6 linked regions of the Xenopus tropicalis genome follow. The protein of the gene in region 3 purifies or fractionates together with the protein of the main gene of each other region. This does not show direct contact. Links are inferred from orthologs where the notes say so. Each region holds a gene or a part of one and is shown on either strand. Other genes may lie near its edges. The genes, in order: cttnbp2, sike1, stk26, fgfr1op2, slmap and cttnbp2nl.

Evidence for each region.
Region 1: the proteins of stk26 (region 3) and cttnbp2 purify together in Homo sapiens (affinity purification with mass spectrometry; 4 studies listed by BioGRID and IntAct, with this or other methods). This does not show direct contact. The link is inferred for Xenopus tropicalis from reciprocal best matches to the Homo sapiens genes STK26 and CTTNBP2.
Region 2: the proteins of stk26 (region 3) and sike1 purify together in Homo sapiens (affinity purification with mass spectrometry; 4 studies listed by BioGRID and IntAct, with this or other methods). This does not show direct contact. The link is inferred for Xenopus tropicalis from reciprocal best matches to the Homo sapiens genes STK26 and SIKE1.
Region 4: the proteins of stk26 (region 3) and fgfr1op2 purify together in Homo sapiens (affinity purification with mass spectrometry; 4 studies listed by BioGRID and IntAct, with this or other methods). This does not show direct contact. The link is inferred for Xenopus tropicalis from reciprocal best matches to the Homo sapiens genes STK26 and FGFR1OP2.
Region 5: the proteins of stk26 (region 3) and slmap purify together in Homo sapiens (affinity purification with mass spectrometry; 5 studies listed by BioGRID and IntAct, with this or other methods). This does not show direct contact. The link is inferred for Xenopus tropicalis from reciprocal best matches to the Homo sapiens genes STK26 and SLMAP.
Region 6: the proteins of stk26 (region 3) and cttnbp2nl purify together in Homo sapiens (affinity purification with mass spectrometry; 4 studies listed by BioGRID and IntAct, with this or other methods). This does not show direct contact. The link is inferred for Xenopus tropicalis from reciprocal best matches to the Homo sapiens genes STK26 and CTTNBP2NL.

What each region holds. Positions count from the first base shown.
Region 1 is NC_030679.2:68,596,453-68,599,952, forward strand, and holds part of cttnbp2 (cortactin-binding protein 2), read right to left. Parts: intron 1,763-3,500; coding exon 1,676-1,762; intron 1,527-1,675; coding exon 1,427-1,526; intron 29-1,426; coding exon 1-28. UniProt on the Homo sapiens protein: Regulates the dendritic spine distribution of CTTN/cortactin in hippocampal neurons, and thus controls dendritic spinogenesis and dendritic spine maintenance.
Region 2 is NC_030678.2:53,677,257-53,681,391, reverse strand, and holds the start of sike1 (suppressor of IKBKE 1), read right to left. Parts: upstream 2,801-4,135; 5' UTR 2,787-2,800; intron 2,456-2,786; exon of another isoform or gene 2,254-2,455; intron 1-2,253.
Region 3 is NC_030684.2:67,411,607-67,415,548, forward strand, and holds the start of stk26 (serine/threonine-protein kinase 26), read left to right. Parts: upstream 1-1,142; 5' UTR 1,143-1,333; coding exon 1,334-1,375; intron 1,376-3,942. UniProt on the Homo sapiens protein: Serine/threonine-protein kinase that acts as a mediator of cell growth. Modulates apoptosis. In association with STK24 negatively regulates Golgi reorientation in polarized cell migration upon RHO activation.
Region 4 is NC_030679.2:2,582,840-2,586,983, forward strand, and holds the start of fgfr1op2 (FGFR1 oncogene partner 2 homolog), read left to right. Parts: upstream 1-1,344; 5' UTR 1,345-1,448; intron 1,449-4,144. UniProt on the Homo sapiens protein: May be involved in wound healing pathway.
Region 5 is NC_030680.2:148,084,927-148,089,041, forward strand, and holds the start of slmap (sarcolemmal membrane-associated protein), read left to right. Parts: upstream 1-1,315; 5' UTR 1,316-1,877; coding exon 1,878-2,075; intron 2,076-4,115. UniProt on the Homo sapiens protein: Associates with the striatin-interacting phosphatase and kinase (STRIPAK) core complex, forming the extended (SIKE1:SLMAP)STRIPAK complex.
Region 6 is NC_030678.2:60,444,976-60,449,271, reverse strand, and holds the start of cttnbp2nl (CTTNBP2 N-terminal-like protein), read right to left. Parts: upstream 2,801-4,296; 5' UTR 2,335-2,800; intron 1-2,334. UniProt on the Homo sapiens protein: Regulates lamellipodial actin dynamics in a CTTN-dependent manner. Associates with core striatin-interacting phosphatase and kinase (STRIPAK) complex to form CTTNBP2NL-STRIPAK complexes.

The sequences.
Region 1 (3,500 bases), on a different chromosome or scaffold from region 3:
GGTGGATCAGTAACAGGGATCAAGCAACCTGAAACACAAATAGCCAGAGACCATTATATCAGAAGAGTGCTCACTATAAAAAATCATTTACAAGCAATAATGATATTATGTTAATTATGGTATTACTTTGTTAAAATTCTGTTGTAGAAATAAGACTAAACTTCAACTGCTTGGTATGCCACTTTTTACTTACAAATGTATTTTGTGCCTAAATTTGGCCCACTGACAAACAGGAAATAGAGTAAACTTATTACTTAAATATCTGAAGTGAATCAAAAATCCAGTATCAGGCAGAGAAACTCACAGATGCCATGAAGTAATGGGTAATTGCACAAAGCCAGAGAATATTGACAATTCTTCTCCATAAATGCAAAACAGGTTTTCTATAGTCTTCCTGATAAAACATTTTTATCCTATATAGTTTGGAACCAAAAATGTGTTCTAATACCTTTTAGGGTGGCTTCATGTGATAAAATAATGATAAAACTAGCTTTTTTTTTTTTATAAAATAGAAACCAGTATGCAGAATTAGATGGATAAGTGTTACCAAAAACTGGTTTATAGCCAAAGTAGATTACTTAGGTCCCCTAAGAAAAGATAAGGCACTCTCATTACAGGCAGCCATATCGTTGAAGTTAGAAAAACTATGAAAAGCAGGTTAAAGGAACAGTAACACCAAAAAATGAAAGTGTATAAAAGTAATTACAATATAATGTACTGTTGCCCTGCATTGCTACAACTGGTATGTTTGCCTCAGAAACACTACTATAGTTTATATAAGTAAGCTGCTGTGTAGCCATGGGGGCAGCCATTTAAAGGAGAAAAGGCACAGGTTACTTAGCAGATAACAGATAAACCCTCATTATATGGGGCTTATCTACTAGTTATCTGCTATGTAACCTGTGCCTTTTCTCCTTTTTTCCAGCTTGAATGGCTGCCCCCGTGGCTACACAGCAGCTTATTTATATAGTAGCTTTTCTGTAGCAAAAACACCATTTTTTGCAGAGCAAAAGCACATTATATTTTAATTACTTTAAAACACTTGAATTTTTTGATGTTACTGTTCCTTTAATGAACGTGACTGGTTCCTTTTTTTGGAGATACTTTATAAGAAATTACCTATAATATTCCTAAAAATTACCTATAATATACACCAAGGAATGTTTAGTTAAAGATGGCAGAACTTCATACAAAAGGAACTATAGACATCTGTCTGGTTTGTAAGGGGCTGTTTTATTCAGGTATATGGCAGAGGATTATAAAACAGCAGATACCAGACAGCATTTTCCCAACACCTGGTATCAATGAATAAGACTACTTTCCCCGTTAGTCCACTCTCGGTTGGCATTAATGACACTTGTTAAACATATTATATTTGCCTGGCCAAAATCTAGCTGAAATTCTAGTTATTTCACACTTTTGTCACCTGAATTGATGCATATGCTCACAAGCTGTTCTTTGGTTAATTCAGGGTCTACCTCCACTTTCACTATATCACATCTGAATCCAGAAGCCTCTTCTTTTTGCTGTTAAGAAAAACACAGACAAGAATGATAATGTATTTGCGAATATATAATTTCTAGACAAACAACCTCATTTCAGCATTAACAGAGGGGGAGGTGCAATTCAGCAACAAGAGAGGATGACTTTTCTAGTTGTAAATACGATTTCCTACCTTTATGTAATATGCCAGCTGCTGTACTATGTACTCCTGCAAGCTTCCTTCCGGGCCTTGAAAGATCACATTGTGATACTGTTCAACCTAATGAAAACATTTAAAAGAAGAATATATTTGTTACTCTCGTTTGGTTGTAAAGTTAGAAACATGAAATAAACTATACTAAGAGACTGTAGCTCTTCAGACAGGGACATCATCCCAACTGTGAACTGAAACTCCTATAATACCTATATCACTTGTAAAGCACACCATACTATGTAAATAAATACATTATCATTTTATACCTGGTTCATTGGAATTATTTTTTACTGTATATTTTTATACATTACCATAATAACATATACATAGAAATGGGAAATAGAGCTATAAAAAAAATATAAGCCCTTTACAGTGAAATTAAACAGAATATCAAATTGTTATGAAGGGAATACTTCCTACTAGGTCCCTGAGCTCTTGCTACAGCTTCAATAATTAATTTACCCATAGTATCAATTAGCCCACAAGAGAAGGTTGTTTTAGAAAGTAGGTATGAAATAAGGCTAGGAAACAACCCACAAAAGTTTGAAGAGTTTGTGATTAGTGATTTTGACTATGCTGTGTGACCTTTCTACATAATGCTCCCCCCATGCTAATTTCCATACTGTTGCTTTTACAGCAGTATAGCAGACACACACTTCTAGTATGGAAATACTATTTGTAGACCATTAAGTTTCCCAACACCTGGGCTAACAATTAGAGTTTAATGAGAGTTTGTGTATTTCTGCTTACTTGCCTTAATGGCTATGGAAGTCTGGACATTCTCACATATGGCTATACATTCTTGGCTTATTTTTTATGGACTGAGAACTGATAAAGTAAAACGTATTGTGTATTTGCCATATGAGATCAGTTTTATCCAATATAAGGACATTTTAAAGTTATATTTGGATATATAGAAGCCAAATGTTTCAAAGAGCACAAAATATCTGATTTTACTATGTACATTAAGTAGCTGCATTAGGTAAATATAACAAGGGTTTCTGGAACTAGGTTAATTGCTTCTCTCTTCTGACACCACAATGTGAGTAACATTAGCAAACAGGGATAAAATCACTGTGGGCAGTAGTTAAAATGCTACTAAAATACTATTCTATGATAGGGAAGCTTTTTAAAAACAATGTTTTATGGTTGCTTGATTTACAACTTGTCTTAAATATAGTCTAAACAAGGAATGATTGAATATGATTATTTCTTCCACTGAAGTAATAACACTAAAACTGCTATTTCAAAAATCAAACACAAGGTGGCAGAAAAAGCCATCAGATCTAAACATAACAGGCAGCTATTTTGCATGTTTAACGTGTTCTACAGCAGTGGTGCTGAACATAAGAAAATGTGCAATTTTTCACTTGTACAAAGCCACAATGTTTAATTTTTTACTTTCAAAGTTAAAGTTTCTCTGGCAGTTTTGTAATTGGCCAGGGGTGTCAGGTGGCCTAGTTTTAGACAATTGGAGGCACCATGTGAGATGTCTTTGCACCCCACTTTGCTGCAAAGCCTGAGGTGGGAGGACTCAGTAGGGGTAACTAGATCTGTGTTGTGAAATCCCATCCAACAGTTTTATCACTAAAGACTGGGGAAACAAGTTTGCCTTTTCCCTATCCAATTCTTTCAGAGGTAAAGAAAAATAGAAGATAAAATGATCCCATTGTTACAATTAGTATATTATTACTAAGACACTTCAGAATGCGAGGCTTTAGTAATCAGAGCCTGGGAAAATTAACAGCCTACAAATGAAGCACACCAACTAGATGACCATTTACAAAATGGAAACCTGGAACAT
Region 2 (4,135 bases), on a different chromosome or scaffold from region 3:
TCCAAAAAGACTTTAGTTTACTAGTGACTTCTGGCAATATGGTCACCGCAAGAGCTTCTCCTCTTAATATTTAACCTACAGTAAATTTTTTGACCCTTCTCAGAGCTCACACCTGCGCCAGGGAATAAAAAAGCAAAAATCAACACCTTTCTGGTTACATTTGGTACCTGCCACCATCAAAACCTCTAGGATCAGGTAAAATTAAAGGAGACATATCCTATAAAAATGATGAATGTACCAGGGAATTATACTCCTCTAGATATAGAAGGATTGTGCTTAAAAAGTTGTGTTTCTGACTGATTTTTTGAGAAATTCCACAAAACCCCCACTAGCCCCGCCCATCTGTGCCACTTCCTGCTGGCTGAATTCTCTGGATGAGCTGGGGAGCCGGCGGCCCTCCGTACCCTGCACTGTAGGATAGGAACCAATCAGCAGCTAGGCTGACCTGATAGGGAACTGAAGCCTGTCTGTGCTTGTGTGAGTGCAGGGCTGTGATTGGCTCTCCCCCTCCTACTGTGTATCTGGCAGGGACCGTTAGGACACGCCCACTCTCCATTTCACACTGGAGGGAGAAGTGAGAGGATCTATAGGGAGCTCCAATAAAGGGGCCATTTTTACAGAGAGAATTTATTTTTAGCACAAAGTGAAACCAGCACCGGATATTATTCATAATTGCCTACAAAATTAGCGTTGCTCCCCATTTATCCAATATGTCTCCTTTAAGTAACCTTTTTTGTTTTTTATACTCAGAGTTCTATTGTGTCTTGTAAACAAAGGCCAGATTTTTCACAGTTTAGGGACAAAACTATGGCTAATTTAGGAGAAGACAATGGTGAAATTGAGCAAAAGTCATCTTTAGTTTATGGGCTTTCTTTTGTGGAGTCATTAGAGGGTCCCAGTTTCTTTTGTGCAAACAATGAGCAGATTTTTCACTATTCAAGGATAGAACAAATGCTAATTTAGGAGAAGATGAATGAAATTGCAGTGTCAGTTCTGCAGCAGAAAGTTCTAGGGCTCCAAAAGGTGTTGGTGAAGACCGGGCTGACAGAGAAGTTGTACCAAGCCAGCTGTTACCCATGGTTACCCATAAGCCTGAAAAGGAATAAAACTTCTGGGATCAGTTAAGCCAGAAAGCATTTTTTTTCTAGGCTTCAAAAGAACAAATTAGGGTAAAACTATATTTCTTTTAACATGAAGGCAGGCCCTAGAATCTGCCGCATGTGGTACCAGCCTTAAAGGAGAAGGAAAGGTAAAAACTAAGTAAGCTTTATCAGAAAGGTCTATGTAAATACAGCCATAAACACTCAGAAAAGCTGCACTGAGTCCTCTATCAAAAGAAACACAGCATTTCTTGTCTCTTTTTTTGTAAAAGGCTTGAAAAGTAAAAATTAGGGTAAAACTATATTTCTTTTAATATGAAGGCAGGCCAAGAATCCACCCCATGTGTTACCAGCCTTAAAGGAGAAGGAAAGGTAAAAACTAAGTAATCTTTATCATAAAGTAATGCTGCACTAAGTCCTCTATCAAAAGAATAACATGACGTTCCAGTGTCTGATCTATTGGCATTAAAATGCCAAAATGACTTTCCTTCTCCTTTAAAGGAACATGAACATCAAAATGTAACACTTTTTATACATTTATAATACATTTGTACGGCAACTGTAAACAAGATATTTCTTGACAGGAATAGTCCTGTTTTGAATGATAAAGGTTATTATTTTATAGGTCTGTAGAGTCATGAATGAAATTTGAACTTTGCTTATCACCAGTTAAGTACTAATAAAAGCACTGTATCCTAAACAGCTTCTTTTTTCAGCAAATGTGGATATCTCAGCCCTACCGGAACCTGAATGACTACCTCCACTACAACCAAAACCTTATTCATAATTACATTACAACTTGTGAAGCAAAATTTAATTATCTATATATATATATCCTAGCTGTATTGTTTTGCCATAAAGCACACTGACATTGCTGTTTGAGAAGGTAAAACACTTTCCTATCTAATACCAACTAAAGTTTTGCCTTTAAATCGTCAAACTACTGCCCAGTCTCCACTAAAGGTTACTAATTTCAGACAAATAAATACAATATAATGAATGGGGCCCTTTAATGGAATGTAGAACTTGTACTTTCTCAGTGGTGTTTATCAACCAGTATTGCCACACAGCTGCTGGTAAAATAGATCAAAATAAGTACAGCCTGGAGAGAGAGACAATCAAGGAGTTATGGTTCTTAGAAGGACAACTCTACCTTTATTAAGCATGCATTACACATCACAATCCAGATGATGTCACCCTAACTCTTTAGCTGTAGAAGGCTGCCCTGCCCGCTCTGTTATTGGTCACTGTGCCCTCAAGCCCCGCCCTGTCACTACCATTGCCCGCCTGGAAGTCAATAAAACGACGCTGGTTTGGTTGAGAGTTCACAAACATCACCATTGTTTGAGATATAAAATCTGAGACCTTGGTCTTTGTCTAAGCAAGCACAGGTACACGCAAGCAGGGCTGGAAGCTAAAAAGGATAAATTGAAAAAAAGTGTGCGTTAATATAAGGCAAAAGTCCGCTTGTTACTGGAAGGATAAGTATTACTATATGGATTTTAACAACCTAAGGCAAAAACAGAAGACGAATTCAACCTGCCAACCTGGAAATTGTCCAGGTGATAAAAAAACAACCCTTAACCCGCCAAAGCACAAAACCCACTACCAGAGTCTGTCAGTAACAAATACATTGTGTTAACTCAAAATTGCGGAGGCAAAATCTGAAAACACAGATAAACTCACCCAATTGCGCCGCCATACGCAGCACGCACTTTACGTAAGAACCAAACATGGCTCTATCGCGAGAACTTGTAATCCTGGATGGGGAAGCGGTTCTGCGCATGTGCGGATCCGGCTTCTCCGGTTTGCTATGCGCATGCGTTACAAGCTAATGCGAATGATGGTGCCTGAATTTTGCAATTTGGAAATAGTAGAAACATGTTATAAAGGGCTTTAAAACGGCTAGACCTATATATTATTGTTTCTGGAATCAGTGTGGTTTTAGGCCTATGTTACTTGGGGGCTTGCATTTATGGAGTTAATGTAGCGTTGAAAGTGCTTCTGTCTGCCTATACTTGCTGGTGATAAAGAATGGAATTGCCAGCCCCATGAGGAGAATGCTGCTGAGGGAAGGGAGACCTGTGCCGCGCCACCAAAATCTAGTAACTCCCGAACAAATAGGGGGGGTTGACAGCTCTGTATGTATACTGTATATCGATTAAAATATAGGAAAGAGGGTATTTTCAGAAAAGGTGGCAACCGTGATGGTAATCAAGGTCTCATAAGGACCAGAGAGGTTTATTATCACTTTTGACCAGAGCTGTCAACCTAGAAATGGCTGTTTGGAGCAGAGCCAGACTGGGATTCAAAGTAAGTCTCAGCAATTCAAGTACACAGGGGCCCAAATAGCATTTTACAGCAGCCCCTCTGATATTTGCCAGAATCAGCAGATTCAGTCTGGGTCTGGATCAAGGGGGAAATTCCAGAAAATTGTGGGCATGGCTTATTGCAGGTACACGGTCATGTCACTGGGTATGCGCACAATGCCCCACAGCTGTCAATAGGTGCTTATTGTATATGTTAACGTTCTTTTTTGGAGCAGAATGCTCACTGCACAGTTTTAATAAACAAAATAAGGGGACTGCCATATTGTGGCGGAAGGGTGCTTAAACGGTTAACTCCTGTGAAACTTAACGGAGTTCGCAGCTCTTCGTGTTACTAGTGTTTGAGTTTTTTTTCAGGTAGCTCAATTTGTCACCTATTGGTACGCATCAGTCACGGAGCTTTCCTTTTAAAATACATTACTGGTAATGACAGATGGAAGGTACACTTTCAAATGGCAGACTGCAGCTTTTTTCCTTTAAAATGCAGTGGTGGACAAAACGCCCCATGTGCATAAGCTTAAACTGTTCTGAAGAAATGGAATGATAAAGCACCAACATATTCCACAGTGCTATACAATAGAAGGGTGAATACATGAAACATACCAATATTGATCAATACAGGGGATAAAGATGTCATGGCTTATGTTAATGAGTCCTGCTTTTAGCTTGGTCAGGGACAAAAAAACAAAAACCTTTACAATATTCATT
Region 3 (3,942 bases):
AGAGAGACACACAAAAAAACCTTTCATGCTTCAATGGTACTATTATGTAGTGGCTCATTCCTCATAACCCTTTTCTCTACTATCTCTATAATCTTTGTTAGTTGGTATTTAGTGTGTACATCCAGACTGATATCATGGGTAGGGGTCCCACCACCATCACACATGAAGAGGCTATTCAAGTAAAGCAGTAGTGTAAAATATGCAGGAAGGAAAAGCAAATGTGAACAGAATGTAGCAAAATGTTTGTGCCAGTCTTTACAGCAGTAACATGCCACTAGGGGAATTTGTTGACATACTGAATATATTGTGGCCCAAAAATTAGATTGATCTTCTAGTATATTTTTAGCTGGTAAACAGATAACTGTATATTAGCTGCAATCATAAGAAAACAGAGGGAGCTTCTAGGGCTGATTACTCAGGTATGGTAATGCTTTCTGCAGAATAAATATAGTGTTCTAGGTGGCACTAATGTGGTGAATCTGTTGGCAGTAAAATGCCAAAATGACTTTCCTTCTCCTTTAAGCCTCTACAGAACATGCTCCACAAGCTTTACTTAAGTCTTCTTATTCAATAACTGTAAAAGTGTGATACCTAGAGTAATTCTGCACTTTTTAGAACAGTTATTGTAAAAAGTGGAGTCTTCTATAACACATTCGCGCCACCTTTCTTCATAATGAGAAAGTAAAACTTTGTAATATTAGGAGGCTGTAGCCTACAGAACACTTTCTCACAAGCACGGCTATTTATCCTACTTTGAGAAGAGCCAAGGTCACCTATTAAGTAGGATAGTTTAGTCCTAGTATAGGAGCAGAGCCCCATTGAGGCATTGAGGGTTCTGGAAGAATCAGTTCAATACCAAATTAAAGCAGATTCAGTCAGACAGAGATATTGTAAGAGTCACCCTGCATGACTGACATAACAAAATGGAAAGTCTGCGACGGATTTGCCTCGTTATGCAAAGCTTCCCAGCCCTGCCCAGGTAGCATGACATCTTCCTAGTCACCTTTTCACATACTAGCGCTCAATGATCGCTTGGGGCGGGGCCGCCTGACATCACCACAACCCCACGTGACCGGCTTCAGTCAGACTGCGGCTCCACCCTGCGTGGCTTCAGCTGCAGCCTTCAGTCCTCTCCCAATATGGCGCCCCGAGCTTGCTGAGCTTCTACCCAGGCTTTCAGTACTTGGACCTTCACCGAGAAATGGTCACAGTGTCAGGCTGCAGACGGATAGCCACGGATAGCCAGAGCAGTGTTTGAGCAGCAGCGGGCAGCAGCAATCCCCGCTCGCACCCCACCGCCAAGTCGGAGTAGGAGGCCTTGACGCCGCCCGCCATGGCTCACTCCCCGGTAGCCGTGCAAGTCCCAGGGATGCAGGTGAGCTGCCACGCAGAGCATACTAGAGCTGCGAATGAGATTTCTCTGTGGCTTTATTAGCCGGCAAACCTCTTGCCCGTTTCTATGGGGCAAAGTCTTTCCCGCAGGATCTTACGATACCTAAGTCGTACCTAAGCAGGATCTTTAGGAAAGCCTGGGCACTGCCAGTTCTCAAGGGGTTGGCAATACCTGTAGTTATAGCCTAGGCACAAGTAGAAGGGCTAGGGCTGGGAGAATCTGAACTTGAAGCTTAGGCACAGTCGGGGGCTGTGTGTATAACATTGGCACTGTATATCCGGAACTGAGAGGCTGAGTGCCAGTACCATAAAGAATCGAACCTTAGACCAGGGTAGGTTCTGTGTCTATAGTATGGGCCGGCTTGGCTTTTCTACATCCTGACACATACAAAGAGGTAATGTCTGCTACCTTGGATTGCTGTAGTTATTGGCCAGCCGAGTAAAGGTTCCCACACCGTCCCAGAAATTCTGCACTTTACTAATACATGGAACTCGCCTGCTACGTCATTAGATAAGATCAGGGATGTCGCCTGTGTGACCCTTGCGACTAACATTGACCGCTCAACCCCTGTGTCAGATTCAGGCAAATCTGCTGAATAGATTGTGTTTTGCACCTGTATATGGAACTGACATTTCAAAGAGACGATAGAAGAACCCCAAGCCAAGCACAGACGTCATCAGTTCACTCCTGTTTGCATGGGTCTAGACACTGTCTGAAACGGGCATACACTGAGAGCTTATACACAATACTGTAAATATTACTGTACAGTAACACACCTATGCTAAACCAGGGCTGTTATATGCTGCCCGCAAGTTGCCCAGCATCATTTATGAAATGTGTTTGCTTTGAGTGCTAGTTCTTACCCGCGTTTAAAAGTACAGGTATGGGATCCCTTATCCGGAAACCCATTATTCAGAAAGCTTCAAATTACAGAAAGCACGTCTCCCATAGACTCCATTTTAATCAAATAATGCAGAATTTTAGAACTGATTTCCTTTTTTTCTGTAGTAATAAAATAGTACCTTGTAATTGATTCCAACTAAGAAATAAATAATCCTTATTGGATGCAAAACAATCCTATTGAGTTTAATGTTTTATTGACTTTTTAGTAGACTTAAGGTATGGAGATCCAAATTACGGAAAGACCCCTTATCCAGAATACCCTTGGTCTGAGCATTCTGGATAACGGGTCCTATACCTGTATCATATCCATGGCTTGGCCAGAATGCATTTATCAATATGGTCAGGGTGTCTTCCTCATTCTGTAATGTAAGACATCTAAGGCACTTGACTAAATACTATGGGTATGCCAGTATTGCTTGTATGCAATAAATGCTATATTTATTAATGTATACTGTACTAACAAAAAAGAGAAAAGCCCAATCTATGTGGCACACAGGTCATCCCACCAAACACTCCAAAATCTATACCCCTGAGTGTAAATAAACCAGTTATACAGTCACTCAGTGGGCTTCTTGGTGCTTGTGGTGTGGCACTTTAGCAGTACGAAATGTATGACCCTAAGTTGTATTGTCATCTTTTATCATTGTCAGTATTCTAAATTTAATATTTTGCAGTGATGAGCTTGAACTGATCCATTATCAAGTTCTCAACCCCTTTTACTGAGGATAAACATGTTACTCATAGTACCCACTTCATACATCAATGTTGGAATTGCTGTTAGGTTTACAGGTGTGTTCAAGCAATGTTCTTATATGCATTTTACATTACTTCCAAGAACAATATTGTAATGAAGACAATTTAAGTACAGAATCTTGAGTTAGGTGCCATGTTTGTATATTTGGAATTAAAATATACGCTTTAAAAAAGCATGGGCATCAAGAAGCTTTTGGCCCTTAACCAAAGTTTAAAGTGAGGTTAATAGTTTACATAAACTTAATGATCTTTAGTAATATTATTCTTTATATAGCATAAACATGTTGTGCATTCTTTTGAGATCCTGTTTATCATTTTAATTTGTCCTTGCACAAGTGGGGCTTACTCTACCACATGCATATATTTTGGGAAGTTTAGGGGCCCAATATATCTCTGTTGTTTTAATCTCTGTTTTATTTATAACTAATTCACAATAACGTGAAGGCCTTTCTGTGTTAAGTATGTTAAGAGTCCTGCTGGTTCAAATTATGTAGGTACATTGGGGTTTGGGTTGTGTATGGCAACTTGCTCAGCTTCTTTCAAAATAGCTTCTCTCCAGCCTTCTGTATTTTCTGATGATGCAACCTTTGATTTTTTGATTACATGGCTTCTGTGTTTTAGAGTGGGCAGCAGGTAGCAGACAGGGTTGTGGGTTTGGTAGCTTGTCAGAGTGGGGAAAAATGCAGGTCATGTGTGGATCTATCTGAATAGACCCATTCAGGTATCTAATGTATGTGCACTTGTTAACTTTCTTTATACTTGACCTGTTCTCGAGACCTGTGCCTATAATTAAATCAGAATACTTGTTAGTTATTTATTGTCCCACAATTCCATGTTGAAGTTTTCTACCGTTTCATTCCTCAACAACAAGTGAAACTTGTGAAACTTTATAA
Region 4 (4,144 bases), on a different chromosome or scaffold from region 3:
AGGTCCCTATCCCATTCCCATCAGTCCCTGCCCCAGTGAGCTTACAATCTAAGGTCCCTATCACATTCCCATCAGTCCCTGCCCCAGTGAGCTTACAATCTAAGGTCCCTATCCCATTCCCATCAGCCCCTTGCCCCAGTGAGCTTACAATCTAAGGTCCCTATCCCATTCCCATCAGCCCCTGCCCCAGTGAGCTTACAATCTAAGGCCCCTATACCATTCCCATCAGTCCCTGCCCCAGTGAGCTTACAATCTAAGGCCCCATACCATTCCCATCAGCCCCTGCCCCAGTGAGCTTACAATCTAAGGTCCCTATCCCATTCCCATCAGCCCCTGCCCCAGTGAGCTTACAATCTAAGGCCCCTATACCATTCCCATCAGCCCCTGCCCCAGTGAGCTTACAATCTAAGGTCCCTATCCCATTCCCATCAGTCCCTGCCCCAGTGAGCTTACAATCTAAGGTCCCTATCCCATTCCCATCAGTCCCTGCCCCAGTGAGCTTACAATCTAAGGTCCCTATCCCATTCCCATCAGTCCCTGCCCCAGTGAGCTTACAATCTAAGGTCCCCATCACATTCCCCTCAGTCCCAGTGAGCTTACAATTCAATGTAACCAGTTGTACCTATGGAGTGCAGTATATATTTCATATCCATGGTACTTACCCTTTGCCCCCTGGGCTGGGGTGATGCAGGGATGGGGGGAACACAATGGCCGTTACAGACGAGATGCAGGGAGTCTGGATGCACCTGGGGTGTCTCCTTTTCTCACCATTCTGACCTTACAGGGAGAGAGAAGACATGTTGGTGCCGGGGCTACACAAGCAGTAGGGCAGCTCCCACCTCTCATACTATTCAGACTCATGAACTGTAGAACCCCCCCCCCCCCCCACCTTCCATTTCCCTCAAATTCTCTTCCCAGTTCTACTCCCCAAATCCTGCCCCCCCTGCACTCCCGTCCCACAAGTCCTAGGGTGCCCCTGGGTACCCCTGTGTCCTTCCCTACTCACCTCCCGTCACAGGCCTGAGCAGCTCATCGCTACCCCATTAATCGTACGTTTTGCCCTTTCATGCTGTTTGGTCCCTGCCGCTTTCTGTTTTTAGTAGATCTTATCCAGGGGGGCGGGCACTAATCGCCTGGAGATACAGTGATTGGCTAATTTAATAGATGAGCAGGAAGATACTGTGAGCGAATATCCGCTACAAGAGGGCTTTGCGCTGTAGGGAGCCGGACCTCTAGCAGCGAAACGTCTGTGAAATACAGTTTTCCAGTCGGAATTATATTCAGGGCGGCCCTTTGCACCGGAAGTGACGTCCTTGACAGGTTCTCAGAAGGCATGCGCGTAGCGTCACCTGCGGTTTCAGCTGAGTTTGGCTTCACTGACGGGACCAGGGCGGAAACGGAAGGGCTGGGAGCTCTGGGACCGAATCTGCCGCTTGTGGGGTGACAGGGTAAGTACGGGCAATGGCTGGCACCCTCACTCACTGGCACCCTCACTCACTGGCACCCTCACTCACTCACTCACTCACCGGCACCCTCACTCCTACATACACTCACTGACTGACTGGCACCCTCACTCCTACATACACTCACTCACTGACTGGCACCCTCACTCTTACATACACTCACTCACTGACTGGCACCCTCCCTCTTACATACACTCACTGACTGACTGGCACCCTCACTCCTACACTCACTCACTGACTGACTGGCACCCTCCCTCTTACATACACTCACTCACTGACTGGCACCCTCACTCCTACATACACTCACTCACTGACTGGCACCCTCCCTCTTACATACACTCACTCACTGACTGGCACCCTCACTCCTACATACACTCACTCACTGACTGGCACCCTCCCTCTTACATACACTCACTCACTGACTGGCACCCTCACTCCTACATACACTCACTCACTGACTGGCACCCTCACTCCTACATACACTCACTGACTGACTGGCACCCTCACTCCTACATACACTCACTCACTGACTGGCACCCTCCCTCTTACATACACTCACTCACTGACTGGCACCCTCCCTCTTACATACACTCACTCACTGACTGGCACCCTCACTCCTACATACACTCACTCACTGACTGGCACCCTCCCTCTTACATACACTCACTGACTGACTGGCACCCTCACTCCTACATACACTCACTGACTGACTGGCACCCTCCCTCTTACATACACTCACTGACTGACTGGCACCCTCACTCCTACATACACTCACTGACTGACTGGCACCCTCACTCACTGACTGGCACCCTCCCTCTTACATACACTCACTCACTGACTGGCACCCTCCCTCTTACATACACTCACTGACTGACTGGCACCCTCACTCCTACATACACTCACTCACTGACTGGCACCCTCACTCCTACATACACTCACTGACTGACTGGCACCCTCACTCCTACATACACTCACTCACTGACTGGCACCCTCACTCCTACATACACTCACTGACTGACTGGCACCCTCACTCCTACATACACTCACTGACTGACTGGCACCCTCACTCCTACATACACTCACTGACTGACTGGCACCCTCACTCCTACATACACTCACTGACTGACTGGCACCCTCACTCCTACATACACTCACTCACTGACTGGCACCCTCACTCCTACATACACTCACTCACTGACTGGTACCCTCACTCCTACATACACTCACTCACTGACTGGCACCCTCACTCCTACATACACTCACTCACTGACTGGCACCCTCACTCCTACATACACTCACTCACTGACTGGCACCCTCACTCCTACATACACTCACTCACTGACTGGCACCCTCACTCCTACATACACTCACTGACTGACTGGCACCCTCACTCCTACATACACTCACTGACTGACTGGCACCCTCACTCCTACATACACTCACTCACTGACTGGCACCCTCACTCCTACATACACTCACTGACTGACTGGCACCCTCACTCCTACATACACTCACTGACTGACTGGCACCCTCACTCCTACATACACTCACTGACTGACTGGCACCCTCACTCACTCACTGGGCACCCTCACTCTTACATACACTCACTCACTGACTGGCACCCTCCCTCTTACATACACTCACTCACTGACTGGCACCCTCACTCTTACATACACTCACTCACTGACTGGCACCCTCACTCCTACATACACTCACTGACTGACTGGCACCCTCCCTCTTACATACACTCACTGACTGACTGGCACCCTCACTCCTACATACACTCACTCACTGACTGACTGGCACCCTCACTCCTACATACACTCACTGACTGACTGGCACCCTCACTCCTACATACACTCACTGACTGACTGGCACCCTCACTCCTACATACACTCACTGACTGACTGGCACCCTCACTCACTCACTGGCACCCTCACTCTTACATACACTCACTCACTGACTGGCACCCTCCCTCTTACATACACTCACTGACTGACTGGCACCCTCACTCTTACATACACTCACTCACTGACTGGCACCCTCACTCCTACATACACTCACTGACTGACTGGCACCCTCCCTCTTACATACACTCACTGACTGACTGGCACCCTCACTCCTACATACACTCACTGACTGACTGGCACCCTCCCTCTTACATACACTCACTCACTGACTGGCACCCTCACTCCTACATACACTCACTGACTGACTGGCACCCTCACTCACTCACTGGCACCCTCACTCTTACATACACTCACTCACTGACTGGCACCCTCCCTCTTACATACACTCACTCACTGACTGGCACCCTCACTCTTACATACACTCACTGACTGACTGGCACCCTCACTCCTACATACACTCACTGACTGACTGGCACCCTCACTCTTACATACACTCACTGACTGACTGGCACCCTCCCTCTTACATACACTCACTGACTGACTGGCACCCTCCCTCTTACATACACTCACTCACTGACTGGCACCCTCACTCCTACATACACTCACTCACTGACTGGCACCCTCCCTCTTACATACGCTCACTCACTGACTGGCACCCTCACTCCTACATACACTCACTGACTGACTGGCACCCTCACTCCTACATACACTCACTGACTGACTGGCACCCTCACTCTTACATACACTCACTCACTGACTGGCACCCTCACT
Region 5 (4,115 bases), on a different chromosome or scaffold from region 3:
GCTGGACTCTGTGGTACCGCGGTGCCCGGTTATCGGGAGGATTCTTACCGCTTCTGAATGCGAGACCGGCTTCTCCCCGGGCTTGGCTCCCCCTCCGCTAACGGCTTCCCCCACCTGTCAGAGTTCCCCGCACCGACCGGCTGCCCTCAGCTTGCCCACTTCCGGCTCCTCCTTCCACTCAAGCCTGGGCACCCAGGGCCACCTGCCCACCCCTAGCAGTGCCTCCCCCAGGGTGTGTATCCCTCATACCTGCCCCACAATCACTTCCGGCTGCTCTGCCAGACTCATTTGCCCCAAGGGTGGGCACCTCTAGGGCAGATTCACTGTTTCCTGCCTCCACTCATATCTGCCCTGAGCCTGGCACTGTTACCCCTCCCTGGGTTAGGCACCACTATCTGCCATCTAGCCTGCTTACCTCTGTCAGTTTAACTAGTTCCTGCCCCCAGGTGTCTGATAATTGCCCCCAGAATCACTGTAAGCACAGCCTGCCTTTGCCAGGATTGAAACTGCAAATTTACCCCCAGCTCTTAGTTTAGATACTCAGACTGATACCCCCCCACCCCCTCGTTCTTAGTTTAGATACTCAGACTGATACCCCCCCACCCCCTCGTTCTTAGTTTAGATACTCAGACTGATACCCCCCCCACCCCCTCGTTCTTAGTTTAGGTACTCGGACTGATACCCCCCCCACCCCCTCGTTCTTAGTTTAGATACTCAGACTGATACCCCCCACCCCCAGCTCTTAGTTTAGGTACTCAGTCTGATACCCCCCCCACCCCCAGCTCTTAGTTTAGATACTCAGACTGATACCCCCCACCCCTCGTTCTTCGTTTAGATACTCAGACTGATACCCCCCCACCCCCAGCTCTTAGTTTAGATACTCAGACTGATACCCCCCCCACCCCTCGTTCTTAGTTTAGGTAGTCAGTCTGATACCCCCCCCACCCCTCGTTCTTAGTTTAGGTACTCAGTCTGATACCCCCCCCACCCCCCGTTCTTAGTTTAGATACTCAGTCTGATACCCCCCACCCTCAGTGTTTGGCCCATTAGTCCATACTTGATTACCTTTGATAACTGACTCCCTTTCCATTCGTCAAGCTTACAACTGCCCTAGCCCCAATATTACATACCCCTGCTGATAAATACTGGTAAACGTTATATTACCCCCCCCCTCCCCAAAGCCCGGATACCCATCTCCTTATTAGAGAGAAATCTTCCCTCCCTATGCAGGCACTGGGATAACCCTGTATTGTGGGCATCACTGGGCCTGTTCTACTGAAATCTGCCCCTCTGTTTCTGCCCCTCTGGGAGTCCAGTTGAAACCTTCTGATCTCTGCAGCCCCAGTCCCTGCTGTTTCCATTTAACACTGACATCCTGGGTTTGTTTCATATTCTGTGTACTGGATAACTGTTTTTGGCAGCGTCGGAGTCCTTGGGGGGGGTTTGGACTTGCCATTTGCTTGGCATAGAGTGGTAAAGAATCCCAAGCAGACTGGCACTGTATGACGCTGCTAAGGCTTTACTGGCACTAACGGAACAGTAGCTAACCCTTGGATTGTGCATGACTTGGAAGCAGGCAAGGAAAGCTGTTTTCCATCTGGCATATGTGGCTATCTCTGCTCTTCCTGATGATGGATTAAAAGTACTTTGGAGGGCAAGTTAAACCCAAGGTGTTGGAGGCAGTCTTGCATGGGACCAGTATGGAGCATTGGCCGGGGAACTGGAAGGATTGTTTACAGACTGGTCCACACTCCTTTTAGCCAAATTGTGTTATGAATAGGTGATACGCTCCACAGAAATCTGGTGATCACAGCACAGGGCTGCCTGGACCAGCCTTTGTTCCTAATTAGATTGACCCACTGCCCAAGCTGTCTCAGATGCCTTCAGCCTTGGCAATCTTCACCTGCCGCCCCAATTCCCACCCTTTCCAAGAGCGCCATGTCTACTTGGACGAGCCAGTCAAGATTGGCCGCTCTGTGGCTCGCTGTCGCCCAGCACAGAACAATGCAACCTTTGACTGCAAGGTGCTGTCAAGAAACCACGCACTTGTCTGGTTTGACCACAAGACTGGCAAGGTAATAATCTTCTGGGCTGAGCGCGCTCAGTACACGTTTACCTGATTTCTGTGATCCCCATGATTAGGCGGCCTTATCTCCGGCTTGTTCCAGCAGGAGGGCTGAAGCCGCTCTTTTTGCTCTGAGGCTGAAAGGAACCCATATGGGTTTTGGGGGGTTACGTTTATTTTTGAAAATGGAAAATATGTGCTGTTGCGTTTTGCGCTACAAGCTGACACTTCTGGTATAAATCCCCCTAGTGGTGCTGGTTCCATTGGGGGGAAACGTTGTCCCGGTAAGACACAAGCTGAGTTTCACTGGGTTTTCTTATTTCTCACAAACCTGCGAAACAGGAATAGAGGCAGGGCAACGCGCTCTTGGAGTCTTTTGTGGCACTTTATTTGTCTGTGGGTAATAACTAGTTTGTAAGCACCCTGTAACTAGCCAGCATATGAACCATAATGTCCGCCACTGGCTTTCCGCTGAATACTTGCCCTTTCTCACCAGATGGCATGCTGGGTTATTTATCCCCTATGTAGTAGTTCTCAGTGGTCTTGTGATATAAATTGGTTTGTTTGTATCTGTTACAGATTGAACCACAGGTCTTTGCTGTGAGTCAGCATCGCTCTTTCCCAGACTCGCCTCTCTATGTAATATCTGTAGAGCGGCTACTCCTGTTTTCAGGGTCGGTGTTATAAACAGCCCAATTGGGACCGTTATGGTAGGGCTCCCTACACAAGGTGTTGCCAGCTGGCACAGGGTTCCAGGGTTGGGTGGGCAAATAGTCCCTGCCTCTCACTCTCTCCATGTGACTGATGATGTAACTGGTGCTTATTCCTGCTGGTGAAGAGCCCCCATGGGTGAGGGACCCTATTGGGCCCAACAGGCCTAAGGCCGGCCCTGCCTGTTTTGATCAGAAGGGCATGATGGGACTGAAAGTGAAGGCCGGTTGCCCCTTGCTGAAAGCAGATGGGTGAAATTCCTGCCCCTGCAGAATAGCCAGCTGAACTTGGTCATAAATAGTTTTTTTTTTTTCCCCAGTGCTTTAAAAACAAATATAGATAAGAAATAAAAATATTCGATGGGGCAGTCTACACACGTATGATTCTTTCCTGCTTCATTATGTTGGATTTGTGTCTTTAAATGCATATATTTTGTATCAAATGATACAGCATTTGTTATCTATTTAATCTCATCTTAATGCCAAATAGGGATGTGTTTGCAGATTCCATAAATCAGCCATAGGGCAGGTGTGGTGCTGCAACTCCCAGCATGCTGCAACCTGAGTGCCAAGCAGCATTACACAGTAAATCCCCAGATTCTTTTCTTTTCAATGTAATACACTATTCTGTATCAGTGACCTTCTCTTTTTCTCAGGCTTCAGAACAGCATTGTTTTTAATGATTAACTCTGCCCTCTCCCTGCAACCTGCTCAGGCAATTCTCTGCTTTGGCTCTCTGCAACTGCCTGTATATATACCCGGGTTTGGCATGGCAGTTGGGTTTATTTAGATCTTTTTCTCTTTCAGTTTAAAGACAGGCATTGTGCATCAAAGCTGATCTGTCGCCTCTCAGCTGGTAGATAGATGTGCCCTGGCAGCACAGTTGTTCTCATAATGGTGCCAGCTACTTAATCTAATGGGTCAGTGTAATTTGGCCACCCTTGTAAATAACCCATTGGAACAATATGTCATTGGTACGCCTTTAGGCTGCCTTGAGTTAACTTTTAGTATGATGTAGTGCAGAGATCCCTAATCTTTTATACCCGCGAACCACATTTAAATGGAAATGTGTTGGGGAATAACACAAGCATGAAAAAGGTTCCTGGGGCCAGCAATAAGAGCTATAATTGGCTACTTATTAGCCCCTTTTTGGACTGGCAGCCTACAATAGGCTCTGTTTGGCTGTACACTTGGTTTTTTATGCAGCCAATACTTGCCTCCTTATCAGAAATTCAAAAATAAGCCCCTGCTTTGAGGCCACTGGGAGCAACATCCAAGGGGTTGGTGAGCAACATGTTGCCACTGATTGGGGAAAACTGATGTAGAGAGTAATATTCCGA
Region 6 (4,296 bases), on a different chromosome or scaffold from region 3:
GTTGCGCAGTGAGGAAGAAGGGTACAGGGGTTTGTGGGAGGCAGCTGGATAGTTTATTAAAAGGATAAATGAACACTTCTAGTAAATGTGGAAAAGTGTCAATATCCCTTTAACAGTTAAATTTAGTTTAACATATGTCCAAAGCTGTTTGAAACCTCACATATATGAATGAAAAGGCAAAACTTTTGTTTTTCACAAGACTTGAAAATCAGATCTGACTTCATACACATAAACAGAAATCACAGCCACTGACTTCTATTAAAGTTCATTGCAATTTCTGGGTGTGAGATTACATAAAAAAAGGTTTAGTATGCACATAAAATATGCAAATGCACACTCTGAAATCACATCTGACACATGAGGGCTGATTCACTAAAGTGCGATAAAACGTGCGCTATTTATAGCGTGCGTTAAAAATTTTATCACGTCTAAATTTTCGCGACTTATCGCACGATTCACTATAAGCATACTTGCGCTAATTTACGCGCGATATTGCATGCGTTATTTAACTCGCAAAGACTAATTTCGTTCGGTATTTGACGGTACATGCGCTAATTAACACCCGCGTATAGTCGCCACAAATAGATAGTAGCCGCATATGAATTGTCGCCACATATAAATGGTAGCATATAATTAGTAGCTGCTTATAAATAGTAACTGCTCTGTTCCGCTTATCTTTAGCGAAAAATTTGCAATGTCGTGCGGGCAAAAAAATTGTTGCCCGCGACTATTTATATGCGGCTACAATTGATGAAATGTTTCGCCAGGCATGGATTCGTGGCGAATTTTTGGACGTGCGGCGAATTTTTCCACGGGGAATTTTTTCATGCGTTTCGCAAAACAATCCGCCAATGGCAAAACGCATGAAAAAATTTGCCGCGAAAAAAATTGTCGCACGTCCAAAAATTCGCCTGGCGAAACATTTCATCAATTGTAGCCGCATATAAATAGTCGCGTGAAGAAACGCACGCCATGTTAGCCATACATGCCAATACTTTCGTAAAATTACTGTATTAAAAATGACCATTTCCCTGCAAACTGGAGGCTGCGTCACTCTAGGGCCAACACATACTTGAATAAATAGCATTGCAAAGTCCATATTTTATTGCCAAAAGCTCATTTACTGTACTTTTCTATAATTATCGCCTGCCTCCAGTAGGTGTTATTTTTCGCATAGCCTAATGCGATATTTAGCGCGCCTAAGTGATTGTGAATCATGCGTTTGTATTCTTTTCAGCGCGCTATTTAACGCATGCGGTTGCGCAAAAAATAACGCATGCGATACGCGACTTAACGCACATGGTAATACTGTAGTAAATCGCGCGCTAATTTTCGCGTCTATTTTAACGCAAAAAAAGTGCGATAAAATTTATCGCACTTTAGTGAATCAGCCCTGTGGTGTTGCAGTGGGTAATACTGCATATTTGCCCTGCTGGGGTCCAGGATTCGATTTCAAGGCTTTTTGTTCATCCCATGTCTATGTGGGATTTCTCTCAGTTTAAATACATAAAGGTAGTCTAATTGGCTCCTCATGCAACTGACATTAACCTGCTTGTATAATTTTGGAGCGTAACAGGAAATCTGATTACCCAAAGAAACTCACTCAGACATGGGGAGAGCATGCAAACTTGAGCTAGTGCCCAGGCAGATACATTTTCTGATATTTACATTAAGACAGAAAAATGTATTATAGAGGGTGCTATACTTTAAAGTCATTGTAATTTACTCCAAACTTCTGAAAAGTCATTAAACAGTGGAAATATTTGGTAAAATAAAATAATAATAATTCTGAACGAACGCATTAGAATAATATGTAATCCAGTAATTTTTACAAACACATCTGAGTATTAAAGCAGTTTGCAGCCCTATATTGTATGCAGTATGATTTCAATGAGCCTGCTGGGAACTGTAGTCCAAGTTGGAGGGCCAGGTTGGCTAGTTGTTACAGGCACCTAACATGACAATATAGAACAGCAATCTCTGCTTTAAAGCACCAGCGGTCCAATCAGAAAAATAAGAATTAAACCAACTTGCATTTTTGTAACAATACATCTTTGTTTTGGTTTTAAATTCATCTACCCAGTCAGGCTCACAAGCAGCACAAAGACAAAGTAGCAGCAGCAGTTCCAATGCAGAGTGTAAGGATGTGCAGTGTCTGAGCACCACCATCCAGCAGCACGGTATTGAAGCACAGCTGTACAGAGCAGCCTTGAGAGGCCCCCTTGGAACAAAAACGCTGCCTGATGCCTTCCAACCAGTTAGTACTCCACGGGCCCACCCAAACCCCACTCAAAAGCGTCCCGACACTCGTGGAAATAAGATTTTGTCACTTACACTTCTCCTCCTTTGTTGCAGAACAGGACACAATCAGGCAGACTGCAAGGAAGGTTTCCTCCCAACTCTATTCATTGAGGACAGCCCTCTCCTTTTCAGAGCACCATGTAAACAGGCAGCGGATTGGTTCTCCTGGTCACCCTTAGGGATTGGGCTGCTGATGGGATAGGCTGCGTTCATTGCACTCAGCCAAGCCTTGCTCGGTACAGTCTCTGCCAGACTGTGGGCTGGAAAGAGGCTACTGGCAGGGGAGAGGAACAGTGTGACTAAAACTAATGTGTCCTCCCTGCGGCAGCTAGTTCCTAATGTATAAAGGAACTGTATACCTTTTAAGTCGATGAACTAGTTGGAAGAAAAATAGCGAATGTTTACGCTATACCGCAGATAGTATTATGGTTAATAGTGTGAATGAAGCCCAAATAGGGCTGAAATGAAGTTAGGCTGGGACCCCTTCCCCCTTTAGCCATATGGTCATTCAGGCAGGGCCTGCTCCCTCCCCCGGCCAGCTCCAGGTAGAACAATAGAAGGATGAGCAGTGGAGGGAAAGAGAGGGGTGGGCTAGGGGAGGGGACTTAGGCAGAGCAAGGTATGTAATGGGATGTATGTTTGTTAAGGCCACATTCTTACTTGTTTCTTGTTTCAGGATCGGTGCCCGTGGAGGATTTGGCAGAGTCTGGATCAGCAGCAGGCATCAGTCAGCAGAAGTGATTTTCGCTTGAATAATGCAGACCTCCCAACTGTCCCGTTTTACGCGGGACAGTCCCGATTTTGCCACCCTGTCCCACTGTCCCGGATAGGCGCGGATCTGTCCCGCTTTTTAAAGGTCTCCGCTCCCGTGACGTCACACGCATGTCTCCCCTTAGCGCCGCAGCTTCTGCACCGCTCACTTCAGTTTTAACAAAAAGCCATTCACAGTGCAGAAGCTGCGGCGCTAAGGGGAGACGTGCGTGTGACGTCACAAGGATGAGAAGAAGAGCCCTGGGGCGCAGCCGAGGAAGCTGGTGGTAGGAGCAGGGGGATGCTGGGGAGGACACTGGAGGAAGGTAAGGGGCAGCTGGAGGATGTTGGGGAGGATGTTGGGGGGGCTGAAGGATGTTGGGGGGAGCTGAAGGATATTGGGGAGGATGTTGGGGGGAGCTGGAGGATGTTGGGGGGGCTGAAGTATGTTGGGGAGGATGTTGGGGAGCTGAAGGATGTTGGGGGGAACTGAAGGATGTTGGGGGAAACTGAAGGATGTTGGGGAGGATGTTGGGGGAGCTGAAGGATGTTGGGGGGAAATGAAGGATGTTGGGGGGGCTGAAGGATGTTGGGGGGAGCTGAAGGATGTTGGGGAGGATGCTGGGGGGAGCTGGAGGATGTTGGGTGGATTCTGCAGTGGGGAGCAGCCCATAGTAGGGGGACACTGGGGGAGGACCAGCAATGTTTTAGGGGGTCCCTGCTCTAGCGCCAATGCAAAACATAACACCTGGCTACCAATGTCTGTCATGAGTCTGTCATTAAATACAGGTGCCACAGTGCATAATGAAATCCTTAGGGCCACAATATGTCATAAAATGATTGGGGCCACCGTGTCTGTCTTCTGGTGCACTTTGTATATGTTATGCTTTTCAGGTGTGGTTTTGTAAAATGGGCCTGTTTGGGGGGGGGGGCGTGGCCATAAAGTGGGCATGACCTAAAAAATTTTGCCGTGGCAGACATTTTTGTCCCTCCTTCTGATTTTCAAATGTTGGGAGGTATGATAATGGACGCCATTGGTGCAGGAGTGGAATTGCCCAGGAGGAAGATCCTTCGGCCAAAAAGGTTCCGGGATGGAGGGGAGCAGGGGGAGTTGTTGTTAGGAACCACGCGGAAGAGGAAGGTGAGGTATCTTTTGCAGGAGGAGAGGAACTCCAAACGTCCGGTGCTGGGGAAAAGGCCGGAAGAAGGCTGCCACTGTCACCAACGCAAACCACGAAAGGGTCG